2 linked regions of the Lepisosteus oculatus genome follow. The protein of the gene in region 2 purifies or fractionates together with the protein of the main gene of each other region. This does not show direct contact. Links are inferred from orthologs where the notes say so. Each region holds a gene or a part of one and is shown on either strand. Other genes may lie near its edges.

Region 1 (10,700 bases), on a different chromosome or scaffold from region 2:
GAACTCAATGGTAGTATATGCTTAAAGGTTCCTGTAACACCCAAAATAATTTTTGGTAAATGATGCCCTCTAGTGGGCTTTATTTGTCATGCACATCAGCTCCATTTGGGCTTAAAACCAGCGTTTCTAACTGATTTTAAGTATCATAGGGAAAGATATAAAATATAAACAGCACTTATAAACTCTACTAATATTTCAAGAAATAGACCTGTGCTTTCATCTCTCATTTATGGGTTTAATGTGGATGAAGTGGTAGTTCTCAGTAAGGAGAGAGGTACATAAAGACAGACCATGCTTGTATTATTGAAGTACAGGGGTTCTTTTTCTTGTGTTTTACCATCATTGTAAACAGTAACATAGCACAGAAATGACTGTATTAGCTGCCAGCTAACATCACTCACGGCCCCCAGAGAAGAAGAGAAGTGAATGATGATGCTCAGTGAAAGCACTGTTGCTTATAAGTCAGAATGCAGTAGCAGTACAGAACAAAAATGAAGATATCGTGAGATCACTCTCCAATGCTGTGCTGGGTGGCGAGTCCGCAGCTGTGCTGCGACAGCTCTGTGAAGTCCTACAACTGTCCCGCAAGAACACCAGAAGACACGGAATAACATACGGAGACCCATAAACCAGTGTGTTTATGCAACCGTTACTCAAGACACAAAATTTTTTAAAGAGCAACTCGATTAATGACTGGACTGGAAAACACTATCCCCCTTGGAGTACTACCATGACAGAAAAGCATGAATTTTAAGCTTCATCCTCTCTTGCATGTGAAGCACACTTTCAAATAAAAAGAGAGTCTCTCTCTATTGTCATCCTCTTTCAACCTCTGCCGTCGTCACACAGGTGCTCTGGTACTGGGTGGGCATAAACTAATCAGCATCAACTCACCAACCATTTTGTTGCTAATCAGTCAAAAGAGGCACAATTACAGGCTTAATACTGGTTTAAAATGGATAGGTAAGACGGGATGAAATACCTTGAAGAAGCTGAATGGTTTCTTTGGAGATTCGGAAATTGGAGAAGGCACCGGCTTTCTGTTCTGGAGTTAATTCCTAAACACATACAGAACACAATGGTACTTCAAAGAGAGGAACAAGTGTAATTCCAGCATCTATCTTAAATCACTGCATCTGAGGGGTATATATGTGTGTGTGGGGAGGTTCAAATACAGTGCAAAGTCAAGCTTTACATGTTTGGCTGAACATCAAACTTCTACCTTGACAGAAAAGACATGTTGCAAAAAGTGGTTCAACAATGCTGCTGACAAGTTCATATGCACAAACTTTAAATATTCTGACAGAAAACATGCATAAGCAAAGCCAATCCTTGCGATGTGTAACACAGCACATATAAGGCATTCTCCAGTTTGTAAAAGAAATGTAGCCAGAATGAAATGGACTTCCTTTATATGACCCGTTCAGAAAACACCACCAGTTTTTTTCCTCTGGAGTGATTTCAACAGAAACATTTACCACCAGGAGTATTTAAACACTGACAAGAGGCAAAGTATCAAGTGCCTGTGAATGCTGTGATCTGAAGTCTGAGTAACCAAGGAAAAAGGCTTTTTTAGAATTAATAATGCACAGTCTTAGGACGCAGTCTTAGCAGAATTTCTGCAGGGTGTTTGAAATTTCAAATAGAAATATTAACAGTGAAAGTAGTGGTAATGTACTACACTTTAAGTTATAAGCACTTTCAAAGAAATAAAAAACGGCACAATTGTGTAGAAACTAGTAAACAGAAAATAAATGCACAGCCAACTGAATTAATAAAACCAAGAGTATACCCAAATTACATATTAAAGCAACTGTGGAAAATAGGTCTTTAAGCAAGTTTTAAAAAACATGTCAACAGAACTCAGCAGAGTAAGAAGGCCTAAATCAATATGTCCTACATTAAGAGATGGAGTTAACACATGCAATAAGCCTTAAAATAATCAGGTGCTAAGCCGTTCTGTGCTTTATACGCGAGCAGGACATCGGTGTCCACTCTAAATTTCCAATTATTTTTTATAATTATATAGTTAACGAGCTTTTACGAAGTCCTAGAAGAACTCTTGTAGTCTACATTGACGACTGCAGGGGACAAAAAAAGTCTTCATGAAGGAAATGCCCACTTAATTTAAAACATCTTCACTTCCTTTCTTTTTAGTAAAGCTCCACCAAGCCCGATTTTATTTCACTTTTCAACTGAACACCAAATAGACTAGCACACGTAACAAACAGAGTCACATGAAGGGCGGACGTCAGATAATTAGGATCTCTTTAAAAGAATGTTCCATTAAAACACACACACGCAGGTCTTTCAAGTAAAACCGAGGAGCAGGCTTTGAGCATGCCGGTTTAGAAACGCGAAGGACCAGCCGGATTTCATACCTCCGCTTCCTTCTCGCTGTCGATGCTGGAGTCCTCGCTGGAATGAGACGGGGTGAGCACCGAGGCTCCCTGCTCCGGGGAGCTGCTGGCTTGCCGTTTCAACTTCTTTGTCGAGACGCCATTGACGACTGCCTTCCCCGTCTTCTTCGGCTGATGGGGAAGCGAAAAACACCACAACGTTCTTTAGGGCAGCTGATGCTGTTGGAACTGATGGCACCACAGGATGGGGCGGGGGGCAAAAGTGTGTTTTTCTTGGGATAATTACATCTCGTGCTGCTCTGAGATCAACACTATTTTTAGTGGTACTGCAGGTATAGAGGTCAAATGCTGGGCTATGACTGTGATTTAAGAAGCGTGTAGGGAACATTAAACATTTAATGCCAGCAGCCATACCACCCTGCTACCCACACCTGGCAGCCCACTGAAGCTCAGCAGGTGTGAGCCTGGTCAGTACCTGGATGGAGACCTCCTGGGAAAAACTAAGGTTGCTGCTGGAAGAGGTGTTAGTGGGGCCAGCAGGGGGCACTCACCCTGCTGTCCATGTGGGTCCTAATGCCCCAGTGTAGTGATGGGGACACTATACTCTGTAAAAAGGCTCCGTCCTTCGGATGAGACGTAAAACCGAGGTCCTGACTCCCTGTGGTCATTAAAAATCCCAGGGCGTTTCTTGAAAAGAGTAGGGGTGTACCCCTGGTGTCCTGGCCAAATTTCCCATGGCTCTTACCAATCACGGCCTCCTAATAATACCAATCTATGAACTGGCTTCATCACTGTTCTCCTCCCCACTAAATAGCTAATGTGTGGTGAGTGTTCTGGTGCACTATGGCTGCCGTCACATCATCCAGGTGGGGCTGCACATTGGTGGTGGTGGAGGGGAGTCCCTATTACCTGTAAAGCACTTTGAGTGGAGTGTCCAGATAAGCGCTGTATATGTGTAAGCAATTATTAATAACCTGTGAATGCCAATTTTTTCCTTCCTTCTAAACATAAACACTTAAGTAGCCCAATGGCACTGCACTCCACCGGGTATAAAGATATCCTAGAGACTGAACTAACTCCAGATGTAATCAAAAGAGCTACCTTCTCTAACGGCATTAATACAACACGTGTAAATGGATAGCTTTAAAACCTGACCAGCAGATTCACAAGCGTTACCTTAGGCTCTGTTTCATGGCCAGAATCACTGCCGGATTCTTCACTGGAATGAGGCAAATCTTTCATTAATGGTGTTCCATTGACGGATTTGGACTTGTGTTTCTTTGCTGAGCTGCCCCTGACGGCGTCTCCGTTACTTGTCGTTTCAGAGGCTGGTGGCTCTTCGACAGAAGCCCGCTTTTTCTTCTTGGGAGGAGGTGTGTCAGTCTCATCGGGCTGCCCTTCCACTGTTCCCTTTTTTTTCTTGGGTTTCTTTTCATCCTTAGATTTCTTTCCCTTCTTTTGTTTCTGCCGAGCAACAACAAAAACATACTTCGTCCAATGTGTTTACAAGCAATCCAAGTATATACCCAACATGTGGTACCTAAAACGCCTGGCACTTGACAGCGTGAACCATGAAGATGTTTTGTGGATAAAACCCACAGCTCACTGCCTTTACATAAGCATGGCCGTTTTAAGTATTTGAACGTCACACTTTTATCATGTTGTCTGACAAGTGCTACAATAACAAAACTACATTATATAAATATACCAGAATGTAAAGATAAATTAGTAATACGTATTATTGATTACCTTAGTCAAATGCTACTCTGTTGTCCCGTCATAAGAATTAAATCTACTTTCTCAGAAAACGTTTAAATATCTCACACACGTGTACACTCTCAGACACACGTGCTTGGCATCCATGTAACTTCTGACTGGGTACAGTATAAACACGAATGCTATTATAGCTATAAACCATCGCCTTTCCCCACCTTGGATGGCTTATAGTCCTCCATACTGGTGTCAAGATCGTCTTCCATCCCGATGTCTTCACTTTCAACAATCTTTCCCGGCATTTTCACCCGATAAGTTCTCCCAAAGACGGGCTCCTACTGCCGTCTCGGCGACAAAGCTAACAAGGAAAGAACATCCCCCTCCACAGCAACCATATCCGCTATCAGGACTACGGCAAGCTAGAGACGCCAAACAGAGCGCGTCGCTCCATGCGGCTGAGAGACCAGCTGCGTGTACAGAAACAAGGTGTTTATTCACTGGAAGTGGAATAAACGTCAAGACGTGTAGGACTCCGGTAACACCAGACTAAAAACAAACAATGCAAACGTGGTGAAAATAGTTTGTACCTACCTAGATAATTGCACTGTTTCATTTTATTGCTACAACACTTAAACGAGGGTGTTTAAAACTCATTTTTCTTACCTCTTCACCAACCTTGGTTTGCCAGTAACACGTTGTTTGAAGGCTGCTCTGCTCAGTAACTGCATTCTACAGGTGAAACATCAAGGCTCTTCAACACCTGGGATCGAGGAGAGTGTCCCTTTTGTCCCAAAGACCACGTAAACATTACACTAAAAACAAATATTCATCCACAAAAGAACAGTGCGTCGTGGAGAAATGGAACTAGCTGGGAGAAATTGAACTCGCTGAAATAAATGTTTGCGGAGTTATGTTGCATCAATAATTATTGGAAATTAGTTTCAGAATTTGTTTACGTGGACAATTGGGTGTTCTGTATGTAATCTTAACTGAAAATGAGCCTTCAGCGCTAAGCAGTGGAGTGCTGTGAGTTTGGTGCCACTGAGATTGTGCATATTGCATGTAAATAAGCGCGTTTATTTTGTATGACACGGATTTTAAATATACCCACGACTGTTAGTTACCACCTATAATGGTAACCTATAGTTAACATCTATTATGTATTATTTTTGTACATTTTAATTATCATAGTTATTTCAGAAGATAAACATTGAAATGAGTGGCTGGATAAAGCGTAACGAGACGCTTAGTTTTATTTTCATAAATTGATTTTTTGTTTTGTTGCCTGTAAACGGATGTTTCGCAAATATTCCTCGACAAGAAGCTAAGAGATGTTTTACAAAGCTGAGCAATGCTTAATATCAGTATGAGCCATATTGTTTATTTTATTGTCCATATTTATTGCATCCATTAACACAACGCTTTCAGTTGATCTTTAAACATTGTAAGTGATCCTTTGTAATCACTGCGATATTATATTATAAAAAACTTAAAAAGTAAATAATCGCCTTAATACAATATCCCTCCAGCGATGTCAAAACAAAATGTTCATAAACTCGTCCATTTCAATTCATATTTTATTACTATCACCTAAGGGCAATTTGTTTTGCGATTTAAGTTCAATACAACAACACAACCTTAACATTAAAATAAAACATTAACTGAAATTCACTACCACGTCTAAACTGTATATTACAGCCGCGGATCTGTCACTGATTAGAAGGAAAGACCTATCCTGGGACAAGGGGCGTGTTGCAGCGGCACTGGAGAAGCCTGGGAACACACTTTTTAAGGAGCTGAGTGATGTGTGACGTCATGGTGGGGTGCCCCCCCCCCCCTTACAGATGTCTGGTGCTCTGGTGTGACGTCTAGCTTGTCTCTAGCAGCGGCTGATGGTATTTTCCGAATGGAAGCGCACGTAGCTTCTCAGCTGAGTCTTTAAACACACCCGCGGCGTTCTGGATAGCCAGCATGGGCCGTAAGGCTGTGATTGTGTCCGGTGGTCAGACAGCCTCTGCTATATACTGACAAACTATTTCTTCATAGTTTTTTAACTAAACACCACAGGTATGTATTTTATTTTACCAGCTGCTTTAAGAGGATGATTATACATTCAGAATTTCTGAATTACCACTGTTTTGAATTTGTGCAAGGAAAAGAATAGTGAAAGGAAAAGAAGGAACAGATTTCTGAAGTCTTAGTTCATATTGGAATTAAAATGCTTCTATACGACAACGCAAATTAGGTTTAGAAACTAAAAATGATTTATTTTTTAAAATTTGTGTTTAGAAACGTTTTTCTTGTCAGCTCACTTTTACTAATTTAATGGCAGCCATTTGTCATACGTGACATTACAAAATGTGCACAGTAAATGCTGTATATGGTGTGTGTGTGTGGAATATAACTTTCAGTAAAAGAATATCTGCACCGAATATGTAAAGTTGCATGGACGTGAAAATGCATTACGCAGCTCAATTAAGTAAAGTTTATTTCAGATGTTTTTATTTAAAGAAATGCATTCTATTTTGATTGTGAGACAGGAACCACGACTCGGTGAGAAGGGTGTTTTAAGAATCCCGCAATTTAATAAGATGAACATGTTTTTTTAAATCGCAGAATATAGGGAGGGTGTTTACCTTCAAAAATAAATTGGAAACAAATAAAAGCGAAGAGAATATGCGGTATTTGTTTTGTACCTTAATGATTAAAGAGCAGCTTCGTGTCGATAAGCGCACGAACTATTATCTCCGGAAAGCGTCATCTGGCGACAGCCAGGCGTTTTAAATAAACCCGCTGCAGTCGGCTCTAGCCTGTTGGAAGCTCACAAGGTCTTCGGTCCACGTGGATATCATTTACTTTCCATTGCGGTGGACTGCGCGCGAGAGACAGATCTTGTAACGGCACTGGACTCAACCCCCTGAGCAGAGCTGGACCTCAGGCTAGGGGGTCACATGTGCGTGTGTATGCTACTCCTTTTACGGAATAAAAAAAAAACGGAGCGTCATCAGGAGGTGGGTTATCACGCTGGAGCCTCGAGCACAGGCAGTGTCCTGGGGCAGGGCGCTCCAGCGGTGAGTTCAGAGACCTTGACGTCAGGACAGCGGGACTCCACTCCCCTATCTGCAACAGACAGAGTCACGTAGGGCTCGCCGTTGCGAAACCGTGTGATTGTTTTCGAATGAAAGCGCACGTAGCCTCTTGTCCTGGCCTGTCCGCAGGTACCCGGGCGCTCGCAGGAGACTTCAGGGAGAGCAGAGCGGGTGCTTATCCCCCTAATTAACTGTAATTCTCCATAAAGTGTGTATCGTCACCGCAGCAGCTTAATGCCGTCATTTACCACTACTCTTAGTACTTGTAGTGATGCAGGAATGAAAGTGTTCAGACCCAGTACACCATACAGGCTTTGTCTGATGTTGTATCTAATTTCTTGTTAATGCCAACCAATTTATTTCCTACTCCTAACGTTTCTGGTTTACGTAAGTATTGCACAGCAGAATTCTCCAGTGCATAACAGAGACCGAAACCTATTTCTCAACCTGATTCAGAAACAGAATACATTTAAATGGTATGTAGTGGAAACATTTAAAAGGAAAGTCTGGTGCACTCTGTGTATTTGTCCCTTTCTCTCATTCTATGTGAATTACTGTACTGTATGCGGCTCTGAGAAATGAATGGAACACGCAAATCTGTCTTCTCCCTTCTCTAGGTGATGGCCTGTCCTCTCCCAGTCTCTTCCCACGCCCTCACTCTGCTGAGGGAGCTGAACTCTCAGAGGCAGTCAGGCCAGTTCTGTGACTGTGTGATCAGGTTGCAGCTTCACCCTGAAAAACTCTACATAGCCCACAGAAGTGTCCTGGCTGCCTCAAGCCCTCTCCTGGCTTCCCTTCTCCCCAGTCAGGGCTCTCTGCTCGATCTGGGGTGCCCTACTCTTACCCCTGAAGCCATGGGGCTGCTCCTGGAGTTCATCTACACTGGGACGTTGCCACCACTCGACCTGAAGGACTCTGTGCTGTCGGCTGCTGTCTATCTGGAGATGGAGCAGCTCCTGCAGGCTCTCGGCCACAGAGGGGCTGCGCTGTTGGGGTCACCAGGGCGAGGAGAATCAGCCCCAGTGAAGGAGCAAGCATCAGGTTGGGTGCAATACACAGCTCTGTTATCTGAATGCTTGCTTTTGCAATTCTTACATACTGTATGTCTAAAGCTTCTGTCTTAACTATTAATCCCCTTTCTGGAATGTATGTGTGCAATACTGAGCCAATGCCACTTTTGCGACATACTTTGTCTCTCCCATATGCCTTAAAAATAGATGTACACCATTTAACACTTTAATCAGGCTGGAAACAGAACAAAAACTGTAGCACAAATAACTTTAACAGCATCACTTGAAATGCACCATGATTATAATGCACCAGGGGTGGTGTGGTGGGTCTCTGGCTAAGGATCTGGGCCTGTGGCTGGAAGTTTGCCGGTTTGTATCCTGCGGCCAGCAGAGGAATCTTACTCTGTTGGGCCCCTGAGCAAGGCCCTTAACCTCAGCTGCTCCAGGGGCTCCATATAAATGGCTGACCCTGCGCTCTGACCCCAAGCTTCTCTCCCTGTCTGGGTGTCTCATGGAGAGCAAGCTGAGGTACAGTATGTGAAAAGACAAATTCCTAATACTAGAAATTGTATATGGCCAATAAAGAGCTCTTATCTTGACACTTGATTTACATGGCTGAAAGTAACAGGATCTAGTATCAAAATGTTTCGATGTTCACTTTTCTCAAAACACATTGAGAAAAATGAAATGGTTGATGCATGTATTTTTACTTATTAAAATTCACATGTAAGTATACCTTAAGCATAAAAATAGTATGGGCGTTGCAGGTGTTATCTTTTGAGCTCTTCAGAATTTAAAAACTAAAGCAAGCATAACATAGAAAATGCTGTTTTAACAAACCAGAAATAGTATCCTATTTATTGTGTTTATGTATTCCCCAGCAGAGTCTGAAGCACTCAGAACACACCGGAAGAGGCGACTGGCAGAGTACCAGCCAGTGCCAAGAGATCTCCCGTCGCCCCTGCTCAACGGCAAACCCGAACAGACCACACCACTGGTGCCCAGCTGCGAGGTCGTTCCAGTCATTCGGCGTGCAAGCACAAGAGGAAAACCTGAGAAGACATCCTCGTTCCCAGGAACGCAGACTCCCCTCCCGAGCCAGATTCCTGGTTCAGACATGCTGGACTTGGGGTTTCACTGCGGTGAAAGCAAGGAGGCAGGTAGCGGCGACCAAGGAATAACAGTGTCTCGCTCTGGAAACCAGCCCAAGAGTCACGGATTACAGTACGGGACAGGTTCATACGGGATTTTAAAGCAAGCCAACTGGCCTTCAGCACTGAGTGGCACTGCCGGCGCTGAGCCCCCCTGCCCTCTCAGTAACCCAACTGCAGCTGAATCCGAGAGCAGCAAGACGAGCTCTGAGAACAGCGTCATAATCAGCAGAGCCGCGGCGTTGGCAGAAAGCACAGGTCCCCACCGCGCCGCCGTCACCGAGTGTGACGATCCCTGGGATTTCGACGAGGCGAAAGGTGATTTTTGGGGGGAGGCTGCCGAAAGATGTGCTGTAGGGCTCGCAGCACAGAGTGAAAGGGCTGTCGTCCATGAAAGCACACCCATGCGTCCGCAGGCCTGTGAAGGTGTATCCGACAGCAGAACTCGCAGTGGTCTCGGAACTGAAAAGTGGCCCCTCGTACCAGAGGGAGCGCTTGGCAGCAACACTAGAACGGCCACAATACAGCCGTTCTCCGCTTTGGGTAGTAGGAGTCCGGCAGTGGTTGTGGACGACGGTGACAATGTAGCAGCTGAAGTTCACAATCCAGGGCGTTCTGAGAACGAGACCTGTAGCTTCTTGACTGTGTGTGGTGCTGAAAATGATCCCGTACATCAAGGTGAATATTCACACACTTCAACTGCAAGTATGGGTGTTCAGACAGGGCGCAATGAACTCAGCCAGGGAAACGGAAATTCAAGCAATTCTGATGTCGACACGCGGACGTTTGTGATGGCCGGGGGTGGCAAAGGCTGTGGTGCTATGGAAAAAAGGGAGGATTGTAGGGGTGAGAAGTGTGTTTTTTTTACCAATACGACGGGTGAAGACACGGGCGAATTTCCCACAGACATTGATGACGCTGCAGCTAGAGCCCAAAGAGGTATCAGAAACATCAACAGAAACACCAGAGACTCTGAGGAGAAGTGGGAGGGTTTGAACCGAAGAGAGAATGGAGAGAATGCACTCCAAATCTACCAGGCTCAAGTCACATATAGCTGTATTGTAAAGGAAAACCCAGAGGCCGCTGAAATGAGAGATTCCGATAATGTCTTTGCTAACACAGCCTTTGAAAGGGACCCTGCCGGGCTTTGTCAACCAAAGCACAGTGTTGCTGTTCTGGAGAGCGCACTGGGCAAGGACACCATGGTGAATTACAGCTGCTGTGCTCTGCCCACCGTCGCTCAGCCTTACCAGTGCTCTGTGTGCGAGAGGATTTTCAGTCAGCGGGGGTCTCTGAACAGACACATGCGGTCTCACCTGGGGGTCAGGCCCTACCCTTGCCCGCAGTGTCCCATGACTTTCTCACGGCAGTACCGGG
Region 2 (11,390 bases):
ATTACATTGGTAGATTTTGATTCCAAAGCATCCAAAATCACTTCACATATAAAAATAGAGCAATTTAATCCACCAAAATGTCAGCCTCTTACAGTAGAGTATGTAATTAGGTAAAGGACTGAAATCTGGTCTAAATTACCAACAAGATATTGTGGTAATTGTGCCTCTACTGTTACAAAAACACAATGTAGAGCAGCAGCTAGGTTTTTCTAAGAGGTCTTACATCACTGTATTAACCATGTTCAGTTTAATGCAATCTGTAGTTATCAGGTTAGGGTGGGGACACTACTGCCAAACTACAGTACAATAAACCCTTGCTTTAACAGACATCACTTGGGCTTGGGATTTAACACACAGGATCTAGAAAAGATCCTTAAAAGGACAACTCACTTTGTGTCTTTATGTACATGATTTAACATTGAGATTCCAAAATGAAATAAATGAACCTATGGAAAACCTTTGAGTATATGCACTGAAGTGATAAAACCTTTCCATAAAACAATGAATTAATTAATGATGAAGACATCAGATCACATACAATGCAGAAATTTATATACATTCAGTATGCATATACACAGTATATATTTTTTCTCACTAATGTATTTTTTGGGATCACATTATCTTGTTGGTAATTTAATGGACAGCCAGCAATACCAGACACTCCTTCCCCGCATTCCTCTATTAAAGCAAGCGTTAAATACAACATAAAAACAATAAATTATATAAATATGTACTGTATGACCAGATAAGCTGCATCTATTTTGTGTTTCCATGTCTGCAGTTTGAAATGTATTGCAATCATGTTTTGCTTGTCCCTAATTACTAAAGGACATTACATTAGATTTTGAGCCATCAATATATTTCAGCCATGAATTTCACATGGTCACAAATAACTAAGACTACTACTTCTGAATACTTAAAAGTTTAAAAAGTCTACAAAGAACCTTGTAGCCTGGGCTCTGTGACCTGGAGCTGAAAGTTCTAATACAGACTCTTAGGGTGAGCTCACACCCTAAGAAGGCTCCACAGCTAAAACATTGTGTTTTCTTTCTTCTCTTTTCGGCATGGAATTAACCTATTACTTGTTACTTTGCAGCCTACGCATGCTGACACAGCTACCCATTTGAACTACTTTTAAAAACTATATCTCTTTGACCATGGAAGGCACCCAAAAACTGCCTAGATCAGGCTGTCCCTCCAAACTGAGCATCTAGGCAAGGCGAACAGTGGTCACTGATGCAACCATGAGGTCAACAGTGAATCTGAGATACAGAGTTCAATGGCTGAGATGGGGAAAAAATGTGAATAAGTCAACAAAATCCCCTATAGATCACTTCACAATGCTAGTCTGTATGGAAGAATAAAAAAAAACATCTCAAATCCCACATTTCTCTATAACCAAGCAATACAATAAAGCTTGAGCAAATCGTCCAAGAAGAATGGGCAAAAATTGCATCAAGCCAATGTGCAAAGTTGGTAGAGACTTGGCCAAACAGAAATATTTAGTTTACAAGTCTTAATATTTAACATATTTCAGTTTATTTCTCTTTTTAGTTTCTGAAGACATGTACTATAACTTAAAACCCGAGTCTTTCCTCTATATTCTTAGTAAAATATTAAGTTTAAAAATAGAGTATTTTCAAGAAAAGGTACACCACAAAGTGTCTGAATTAATTCGCAAGAAACCTTTTACTTTATCATACCATTAATAAAGGTACTTTATATAATTGCTTATAAGAAAATATATCTTTATATAATAGAATGAAGCATCTTATCCAACAATTATTTTAATACAGGGTCTGTTTACCCTTTAGTAAATTGGGTCTAGTGATGGGACATGATGTTTAAGAACTATGTGATTAATATAATTTAGGTGAAAACAAAAACCCCCAGATGCTCCTGCCTATGAATGAATATCAGAAAAACACAGTGTCCTACTTTCAGAGTGATACCACAAGGTACTGTACAGACAACTTACTGCTGTCCATACTCTGGAAGACATGAATCAGATTGGACAGAACAGCAGACAGCTCTTCCTGCAAACCAGAGCAGAGAACAGACAGCTTATTAGATGTAAATTCCATTCTGGGAACTGTTACGTTACAATTACAGAACATTCTGATCCAGAAAAATGAAAAAACAGCAGAGGTTATTTCTTCTCGCACATACTTTGCAAGGATTCACTTGGCAATCTTAGTACAATATGAAAATGCTTATGTGGGAAGTAGGTACCACCTACAAATATCAGAAATCTAAAAATAAATCACCCATTTAACAATTATATTCCACTGTTGAAATAAAGGAACAGATCTTATCATTCACATAAAATGTAATTTGCAAAGCCCTAGAAAACCTCTTAGATGTGCTCAGAGAAATCCAGTATCCACAGCTGTTGTCCTGAAGCAAACACAAAATGGATTTAGAGTGAACCATTACTGCTCATTTTATTCACTCCTTCAAAGGTTATTTATTCAGCCCATCAGTTTGAAATTCAAAAGCATAAAGGTCCTTTATTGAATTAATCTGTTTACTTGTTGGTTTACAATCTAAGTATGCTCCTCCCTCATTGGTTGTTGAGACTGTTATTAAAATTAATTTTATTTAATATAATGCTGTTTATGATACATTTTCCCAAGGAGTTTCACAAAAAACACAGACAGGCTTACACAAATAAATAATAAAACCAATTTTTTTTGATGCAGCCAACAGTAGAAGCAGAGGTATATAAATGCATTTCAACATCAATGCCTGATGTTCAGGGTGCTGCATGCAATTAGCATAAAAAGCAGGAAACACTATACTGAAAGTCATTTACGAGAACAACTTAAGTGTTTATGTTTACATTATTATCCTGCACTCATGGTGTGAAAACAATAAAAAGGTGACTTCCGGTGAAGCAGTAATAGAGATCCCGGCATAACTTTTTAGCTCCTGGTGTTTGAGAGTGAAACCCTACAAAATTCAACTATTAAAAAAAAAACAAGAAAGGTCAACCGAAACAAAAAGCACAAGAATCTTCCATGGTGAGAACAGATGACAATGACCACTGCTCCACAGAAAACAAATAAAAAGGCAAACTAATGTAATATATAATTAAATGTGTAACACTTAACAAAGGGATGTTATGTTAAAATTGTATAATGCACTATTGGTCACCATGGTACAAAAGATATAACTGCTGTAGAATCATAACAGAGAAACACCCAGATACAATATGGGCATTGAGGGAATATCTTGCACAGAATAAAAAAGAAATGAATTTCTTGAGACAAAAGTCTATGAAGAAGCCATTTAAGGATTGAAAAACAAAGGCAATGAAAAAGGGCCAACCTTTCAGAATGGATGGAGAAACGTGAACCTGATGACACTAGTGGAAACGATGTAGGAGAATGGAACGGGCATCACAGCCAAGTTGTTGAAGCTGATTCCTAAGCTTCTTAAGAAATGGCTGAATGGGATACTTGGATCAAATAGCTACTAACTTGATAAGTTAATACACCTCTGCTAACTACAAACTAGGATGAAAAGATCTAATTAATCTTTCAGAAGGATAATGTTCAAAAGCACAAGACTTCTTTATAAAGTGATTTTCCTGCCATTCAACACTGGCCAGGTAGCTTGCTGCAGACACCCACAACTTTGTGTGAAGATGGTCCTCCTGTTCTCAGTTTTAAATGCACTTCCCTTTAAGTCCCACTTCTGTTGTTTGCTGGGTTTCACTTTTAATTATGAAAAGTCAAACTGTTGACCTTGAATTCAAAGAAATATCCCAACCAGAAGAGGTTCATTTATCCACTGTAGAAAAAAAACTTAAACAGCCAAGACTGGGAGATGTAAACATGGTTCTCCTTATTGTTAAGATGACAAAACCCAGGACTTGGATGATCATTAGTGTGTTTGGTTATTTTTTCTGGAGAGACCTGGAAAGTCGCTTCACTGCGGATGACATTAGGATTAGGATACCCTGACTTACCTGTAACAGGGGTTTGTCTTGCATCCACATGCAGTAGAACAGACCCTTCCAGATTTTGAGCAATTCTTCACTGGTAAACCCTCCTGCAAAGAGCACACAAGTTCTGATATGATGACATATCTTAATTGTGATCACACGCAAATCGTAAAATTCCTTCTTCATGGAAGTTTTTACCACGTGTCGGTGAGCACTGACTACTATTTTCAGGCCGTGATAAAAACACTACCTGTATAATTCACCTGTAGCATATTAACTAAACACGAATAAAGGTCACATATTAGTTGTACTACAAAACCAACAAAACCAGAACACACGCGACTGGATTTACACAGAGAATGCATTTGAAAAGCTTACATCCACAGTAACTTTGTTGAAGTTAACGTCCACGTAATAGAAATGTAGAACTGCATCACTTCAGCAACTAAAATGTACTGGCTATTTCTTGATTAAAAGCAATGGAAACTGCTTTTTAATAAAATCCGCTATGTGTTACAATATATAGGTCCAGAAACGTATTAGTACTTTTGGGGAAAATGCTAGAACTCAACAGCCCCCACGTACATGATGTAACTACGCTGATTCCTACACCAATCCTGCCCGTTGACCAATATATTTACCTTTTTGCTTCTGTGAACGAATACCAATATATTTTTTCAGCTTCTTAATAGCCCTCGTTCGAATGGGTTTCTGGTTAGAAGCCAGTTTCTGAGCGAACTGAACCTCAGGACCTTGCAGTAGTAACGCCATCTTTTTCTTTTTTCTTCACGTGTGGGACAGGGATTCTCGTCTCCGAAACACGTTGTAAAACAGTCGCAGTATGATGACATCATCACCGCCGGCTCTGCGGTCCTTGCACAAATTCGAGTGGACAGAATAGATCATTGTATTCTAAAGCGAGATAAAATTGCTGGCTCTGAAGAGTGAACATTAAAATCACTGAGAGAGAGAATAATATTAATGCGGAGGCTAAACAATGCACTACTTTTTTATACGGAAATAATACAAGAACAAATGGTATGTGAGATAAAGAACAGAGCAAAATAGGAAATGTGCTAAATTAATATTTCATGCAGGTTTTTACAAATGTCGATAATGTGTCAAGGGTTATAAGAGCAACTCCATCAATATTGTGTAGTTTTAGAATAAAACTTAAGTTATTATTGAATTGAGTTCTTATTGTAAAAAGAGTTTTTAAAATATTAATTCTCTGTATCCCTGCATTATTTTCCTGATTATACCTAAGAAAATTAATAATGTTATTCACAGACCGTTAACAAATATTTTCCAACTGTCACGAGTTTGGGAGCTGTGCCTACAGATTGGAGAAATGCAAATGTAACACCAGTGTATAAAAGAGGGAACAAAACTGAACCAGGGAGCACTCTAAGCCTTCTGTGACTGGTTGAATTATAAAAATGAATGTTGATCAACCTAGAATATTTACAAAATAATGGTTCAAGGAGTTAGGTAAGAGGGATTTCGAAAATTACGTTTTTATTTTGTTTCAAGAGCACTATACTGGGGCATTAGGGCCCCAGTATAGTGCCCTAATACTATACAGTATAGTGCCCTAATACACTGGGTGAGCACCCAGTGCTGGCCCCACTAACACCTCTTCAAGTTCAAGTTTATTGTCATTATACTCATGTACAGGTACTGTATATGGTATAACGAAATGCTATTTAGCTAGCTCTCAGATGATAAGTAGTACAAAAAAACAACAATAATGTTATGGTATAATAAAAGAAAGACAGAGACAATAGGCAGTGTGCAAAAACAACAAAAAGGTAACAGTAATGTGCAAAACAACAGCAGATGTGCAAAAACATGCATCAACAGAATGAAATAAAAGGATAGAAATTATGGGGAGTGAGCTTTTGACATGTAAGGTAGAGGTAGATTTCAATGTGTGTTTTGAGTTTTTGGTACGAAAGAAGGCACTGTGAGGTTCAGATCATAGGTGAGAGGTGAGGTGAGAGTGAGAGAGACTGGGAGTTTAATAGTTTGATAGTGCGGGGGTAAAAACTGTCTCTGAGTCTGGTAGTCCGGGCCCAAATACTCCGGTACCGTTTTCCAGATGGTAGCAGATCATACAGTCTGTAGCTGGGGTGTGTGGGGTCTTTGATGATGCTTAGAGCTTTCCTCAAGCACTGTCATAAATGTCCTGTATAGATGGGAGGGAAGCCCCAGTGATGGACTGGGCAGTTTTCAACACCCGCTGTAGGGCTTTGCGGTCAGCAATACTGCAGTTGCCATACCACACAGTGATGCAACCTGTCAGTGTGCTTTCTGTAGAGCATCTGTAAAATTAAGTGAGGATCTGGGAACACATCTTAGCCTTCTTCAACCGTCTTAGGAAGTACAGGCACTGTTGCGCTTTCTTGATCAGACAGGTGGCGTTGAGAGACCATGTGAGGTCCTCAGCGATATGGCCGCCAAGGAATTTGAAGTTACTGACCCTTTCCACTTCAGTCCCGCTGATGTGGATAGGGGCATGTCCGTTTTGCAGTTTCCTGAAATCAACGATCAGGTCCTTGGTTTTGCTGATGTTGAGGGTGAGGTTGAAAAAAACTTTTGTTTTTCCCAGGTAGGCTCCCATCCAGGTACTGACCAGGTGCACAGCTGCTTCAGTGGGTTACCAGATATGAGTTGCAGGGTGATATGGCTGCTAGTACTTAAGTACTTTTACAGTAAGTACTTAAGCTGGATTCATCAAGATGTTAGTTGACTAGCAGCCAGCACAAGAAAAGTATTTTAAGCCCATCTGTTCCTTTCAGTTTTTTTTAAAAAACAATAATGTTTTTTTTAAAAAAAAACACTAATGAAACAGTATTTGTTAACACTATGAATAGCCCCAGAGATGGATGTGGTGAATTTCATTAGCAGGAAAGCATGCTTAGTAATTTTAATGCATAGACTACACCCAAATGTTCAGTAACTTATTCTGTTTCCTAGTGCCTTGTGTGTCAGATAGCCCTGATGTCCAGTACACAGGAAATAGCTAATTAGAGGTTCAATACTAGATCTACCACTGTTGCCAATATAACCTTGCTCATAAAATTAAGCAGCCTGAGGCCTAATCCAGCAGTTTTATAGCTACTATAGTGCTTTGCAAAAGTATTTACCTGCCTTGGACTTTTTCCCTTGGACTTTTTTTTTTGTGTTAAAGCATGGAACCATGATGTATTTAACTGAGAATCTGTGCCACTCATTAACACAAAGTACTCTATAATGTCAAAGTGACAAAAAATCCAGACATTAAATTAATTTTATTTTCTCATGTATCTTACAGTACTGTATATATCTATCTCATACACCCATTACCCAAATTCTTTGTCTAAATTTTGAAGATTACTTAAAGCTGCTAACGTTTTTCATTGTATGTCTTTAATTGTTAATGTGTTCATGTTGTGTTAAATGTACTAAACACATCAATTTCCCTTTGGGATCAATAAAGTCTTATCTATCTACTATGTATTGTGTTATGTATTTTACCTGCCAGAAAAGCAAATTTCCCATCTGGGATAATAAAGGAGGTAAGAAAATCGGAGTTCTCTTAAGCACATTACTTTCTTAACTAATGAGTTACCTCCACTTTTTCACAATTTTGTAGAAACTGATGATGCAGGGTGACCTATAACATTTACTGGACTGGATCTCTGCTACTCCTAACATGAAAACGTGCTTTAGTAATATATTTTGATTTACAAAAAAAGCTTCTGAAAAGGACCCTTATAAAATGTTGATTCTTAAACAGAAATGATAGTTAATAAGTGATTAAATTTACAAATGATACAAAATATCGGGGGAGTGGCAAACACAGATAAAGCAGCAATGGATTTACTAAAATCATGGAAAATTACAAATGGTATAGAAATTGAAATGTTGACAAGTACGATCCACACAGGATGTAAAAACATAGACTATATACTGTACTGTATATATCACATAGATAATTCAGAACAACAGAAAGCTGCACTCAAAGGGCAGGTTATGTACTGTACAATATCCTATATGCTTATCAAGAGAAAATTTTTCTATATACACATAGCAATGTGGATTTTAATTCGGTGAAAGTTCTATTCAAGCCTTACAATGGTTTACTAAGACCTTATTTAGAATATTGTGCTTACTGTTGGACACCAAACCATTAAAAGAATAGTAATAGCCTTAGAAAGAGTTCAAAGAAAGCAACAATAATTATTCCTAGTCTAAGAGAATTGATATACATGACCAGATTAAGGTACTACAGCAAAATCACATCAAAGCAAGACTTTTCAAGATTTATGAACAGAAATAATTTATTTGTAAAATGCCAAGTATGTAATACAAGAAAGACAATATAAATAATCATAATGTATTAATGCTCTCTGTTGTTTTATGTTTGCTTACATTTAATTTAAACATTTTGTAATTTAAACTGTGAGCCAACATGGATAAACAGATTATTTATCTTACTTAATAAATGTAACAATCCACTATTCAAAACATAGAACTAATTAAATGTGCTTGTTTGAAACCCTTATTATGCTTTAAATCATTTTACTATTTTTACTTTGCTTTAAAAATGACAAAGTGTAGACCTAGTAAAAATATCTATTTATTCATGCCTAAAAGTACAGCTGTATAGTTTTTCATTTAGTGGCAGCAGTGTCTCTGACGTGCTGCAGCAGTCACTCCTCTACTTCTTCGGGGGCAGTAGATAATGCCTGAGTCCCCTCTGGCTCCACCTCAGGCTCTTTTCCCACTTCAGAAACCAGGTCTGTTTCCTCTTTGTCCTCTGCTATAGTAGGCTCAGGCCCAGTGGCCTGTATTTCACTCTCTTTCACCTCCCCAGGTGCTGCATTGAATAAACAAAATGTAAATATTTCTACATTAAAAAGGTTCTACAGCAACCTTGTTCAAGATATTTAGAGGCCCCAGCCTCTGAACTAGCCATACCCAGCTTAGTAATGTAATCATATATCCAGTAAGAACAACAATTTCCAGGATAATCACAAAGTACAGACCCATGTTGAACTGGACAGGCTGATTTGCACATGTGTTCTTTTTCTTTCCAATCCTCTTCTGCTTGATTATTTCTTCTTCACTCTTAACACCATTTACTACCACACTGATATAATTTATCATATGTCACTACTTTGCAAAGGGTCTGTAGGGATTGATAAGAGAGTGAAGATAGGAAAGAGGAGAATGGTTTTGGCAACGCTAGGCAGGAACTAGAATAAGGAGCCAATGGTAGGATTGGAATAATGGAGTAGCATGGGCTAAGTGAGGAAGAATAAAAAAAAGCCAAGCAGCAGATGTCTGGAGCGGACGAATGACGTTAGCAGGAAACACTACAATTGTTTAGGCAGGAGACTGCCTAGGGCCTGTACTAAAACTTGTTCGGAAAAGGACAAGGAAGGAAAGACCATGTTCTGAGCAATGTGCTAGACAAGAAATGTGTTGCAATGCTTCAAGGTTCAAGGTTCAAGGTTCTTGAAAAATAAGGAAAGGGGTGATGGAGTCAAGAGAAAAAGACCTCATTAATGTCCAGAGAGAGGAAAGAAAGGAACGGAGAACAAAACAGGTCAGACTTTGAGGAAAGTTTAATATTATAGGACATCAGCCAAGAGGTGATGGTTGTGGAAGAGATACAGGAGAAGACAGAGTAAACAACAGAATGAAAAGAAAAGGATTTGAGCATTATCAACACCAAAACAATATTGAAAGCCATGGGAACAAGTGAGAAAACCCAAAGAACAGGAGTAGATGAAGAAATTAGGGATAGATAAGAGTAAGGACCATTTCTGTGTTATCAGAAATGTAGGAGACAAAAGTGTGCAGAGGAATAGATTAATCCACACTGTCAAAGGCACCACAGAGATCAATAAGTATTAAGACAGAGGCAGCACAACACAAGTTAATTTGTTACAATCAATAACACAGAATTGTAGTTTATCTCGAGTGTGCCAAGTAAAAACCAGAATGGAAAGGGTCGATGTCCACCTGCTGGCTGCTTCTTCAGTTCCTCGACTGGAGTCCAGAGAGTCATGGCAGTCACTTTGTCTGCCTTCCACTTCAGTACAGTGGCACTGATGGGATCCTCATCTTCCCCTTCACCTTTATCCTGGCACAGGAAACAGACCACTTTTGCTCTTTGAAGAATGTCAAACGAAGAAAATAGTGCAAACAAGAGGAAACCATTCATTCTCTACTGCTTGTTTGGTTACTAGTAACTTAATGACCCAGGAATCCCATGTTCATAAAGCATGCCACAATGACAGCTTTAACCATTTTTCTGTTTGTAAAGAAGTGTCTCTCCTATTTCTGTACACTATGCTACTGAGCTTATTTTCCATACAAACTTGTGTAATCAATCACAGTATCCCATGGATTGTCTTTCTCAATACCTTTCACAATTCTGAATTTTCAATTAAGTCAACAAAGACAGCTTTCAGAAATCTTTACACACTTATAGGATTTTTAAAATTTTAAGCTTTTTGTACCAGTACTCTGCTTCTTCTTACCCTAAATACTAATTATTCACAATATTAGGTTTTCATGTGTGTTGTGTCTTGCTAGATTTATACTTTTAAAATTTTATTGTGACATTCAGAAAATTAGAAACAACCCTACCTCTGAAACAAACAAAAATTATACATTAGTGTTGTTTTAAGAATATGTTTCTGTAAACTGCTGCAATTATTAGTTCCAGAGGTGACAACGCACAGTATGCCCAGACCAATACACTACCCCTGTGATGCTTAATAATTTGCTTAAAGCTTGGTGGAGGTATGTCATCTCTGGAACTAATGATTGCAGAAGAATTACTTCTAAAGTGTACAGAAACATTTTGTCTGCTTATGTGCTTTCATAACTATTCAACAGTGTTTCATCATGCATGATCATGCAGCATGATAATGACCTTATTGTAGAAACAAGAACAAGCAGTACTGGCTGGGGGAATATAGGCAAACAGAACGGAATAGGCACAGTGGGCAATACGTCATGCTTCACACATATAAAATCAAAACAGCAATCTTAAATAATAATTTAAGATTAATAGTTCATAGTTCATAGTTAATAACTCACTATGAACTCTATTCACAAAGACTAAGCACAAAGGTTATTTTAAAATAAGATTCTGTTTTGATCTTCACGTTAGTGTAAAAATTACCTACTATTTTAGATTATTGCTAACTTAAGGAAAAGATTATAATAATTCCTGGGGAGATTCCTGGCCAATTCCTTGGCGAGAGTTACTGGTAAACAAGTAAATTACCAGAGCTTGAAAAACCACTGTTGTAACAAAACATACTGTTACAAGTTCTCTCATATTGCTGATTCTGAATAAAAAGAATGTGCTAACAAGTTTCAAGAAGTCATATAAATTATTGAAAAATCAGTGATATTGCCTTACTGTCAGAAAATG

What was found. Proteins that work in one complex are often made in the same cells at the same time.
Region 1: the proteins of ribosomal RNA processing protein 1 homolog A (region 2) and ddx21 purify together in Homo sapiens (affinity purification with mass spectrometry; 3 studies listed by BioGRID and IntAct, with this or other methods). This does not show direct contact. The link is inferred for Lepisosteus oculatus from reciprocal best matches to the Homo sapiens genes RRP1B and DDX21.

What each region holds. Positions count from the first base shown.
Region 1 is NC_090699.1:30,701,761-30,712,460, reverse strand, and holds the start of ddx21 (nucleolar RNA helicase 2), read right to left. Parts: upstream 4,455-10,700; 5' UTR 4,376-4,454; coding exon 4,292-4,375; intron 3,825-4,291; coding exon 3,537-3,824; intron 2,532-3,536; coding exon 2,382-2,531; intron 1,059-2,381; coding exon 983-1,058; intron 1-982. Other genes in the region: hypermethylated in cancer 2 protein-like, read left to right, coding at 7,783-8,203, 9,054-10,700.
Region 2 is NC_090710.1:1,214,748-1,226,137, reverse strand, and holds the start of ribosomal RNA processing protein 1 homolog A, read right to left. Parts: upstream 4,760-11,390; 5' UTR 4,721-4,759; coding exon 4,591-4,720; intron 4,057-4,590; coding exon 3,974-4,056; intron 2,037-3,973; coding exon 1,979-2,036; intron 1-1,978. Other genes in the region: rsph1 (radial spoke head 1 homolog), read right to left, coding at 8,647-8,813, 9,965-10,085. UniProt on the Homo sapiens protein: Positively regulates DNA damage-induced apoptosis by acting as a transcriptional coactivator of proapoptotic target genes of the transcriptional activator E2F1.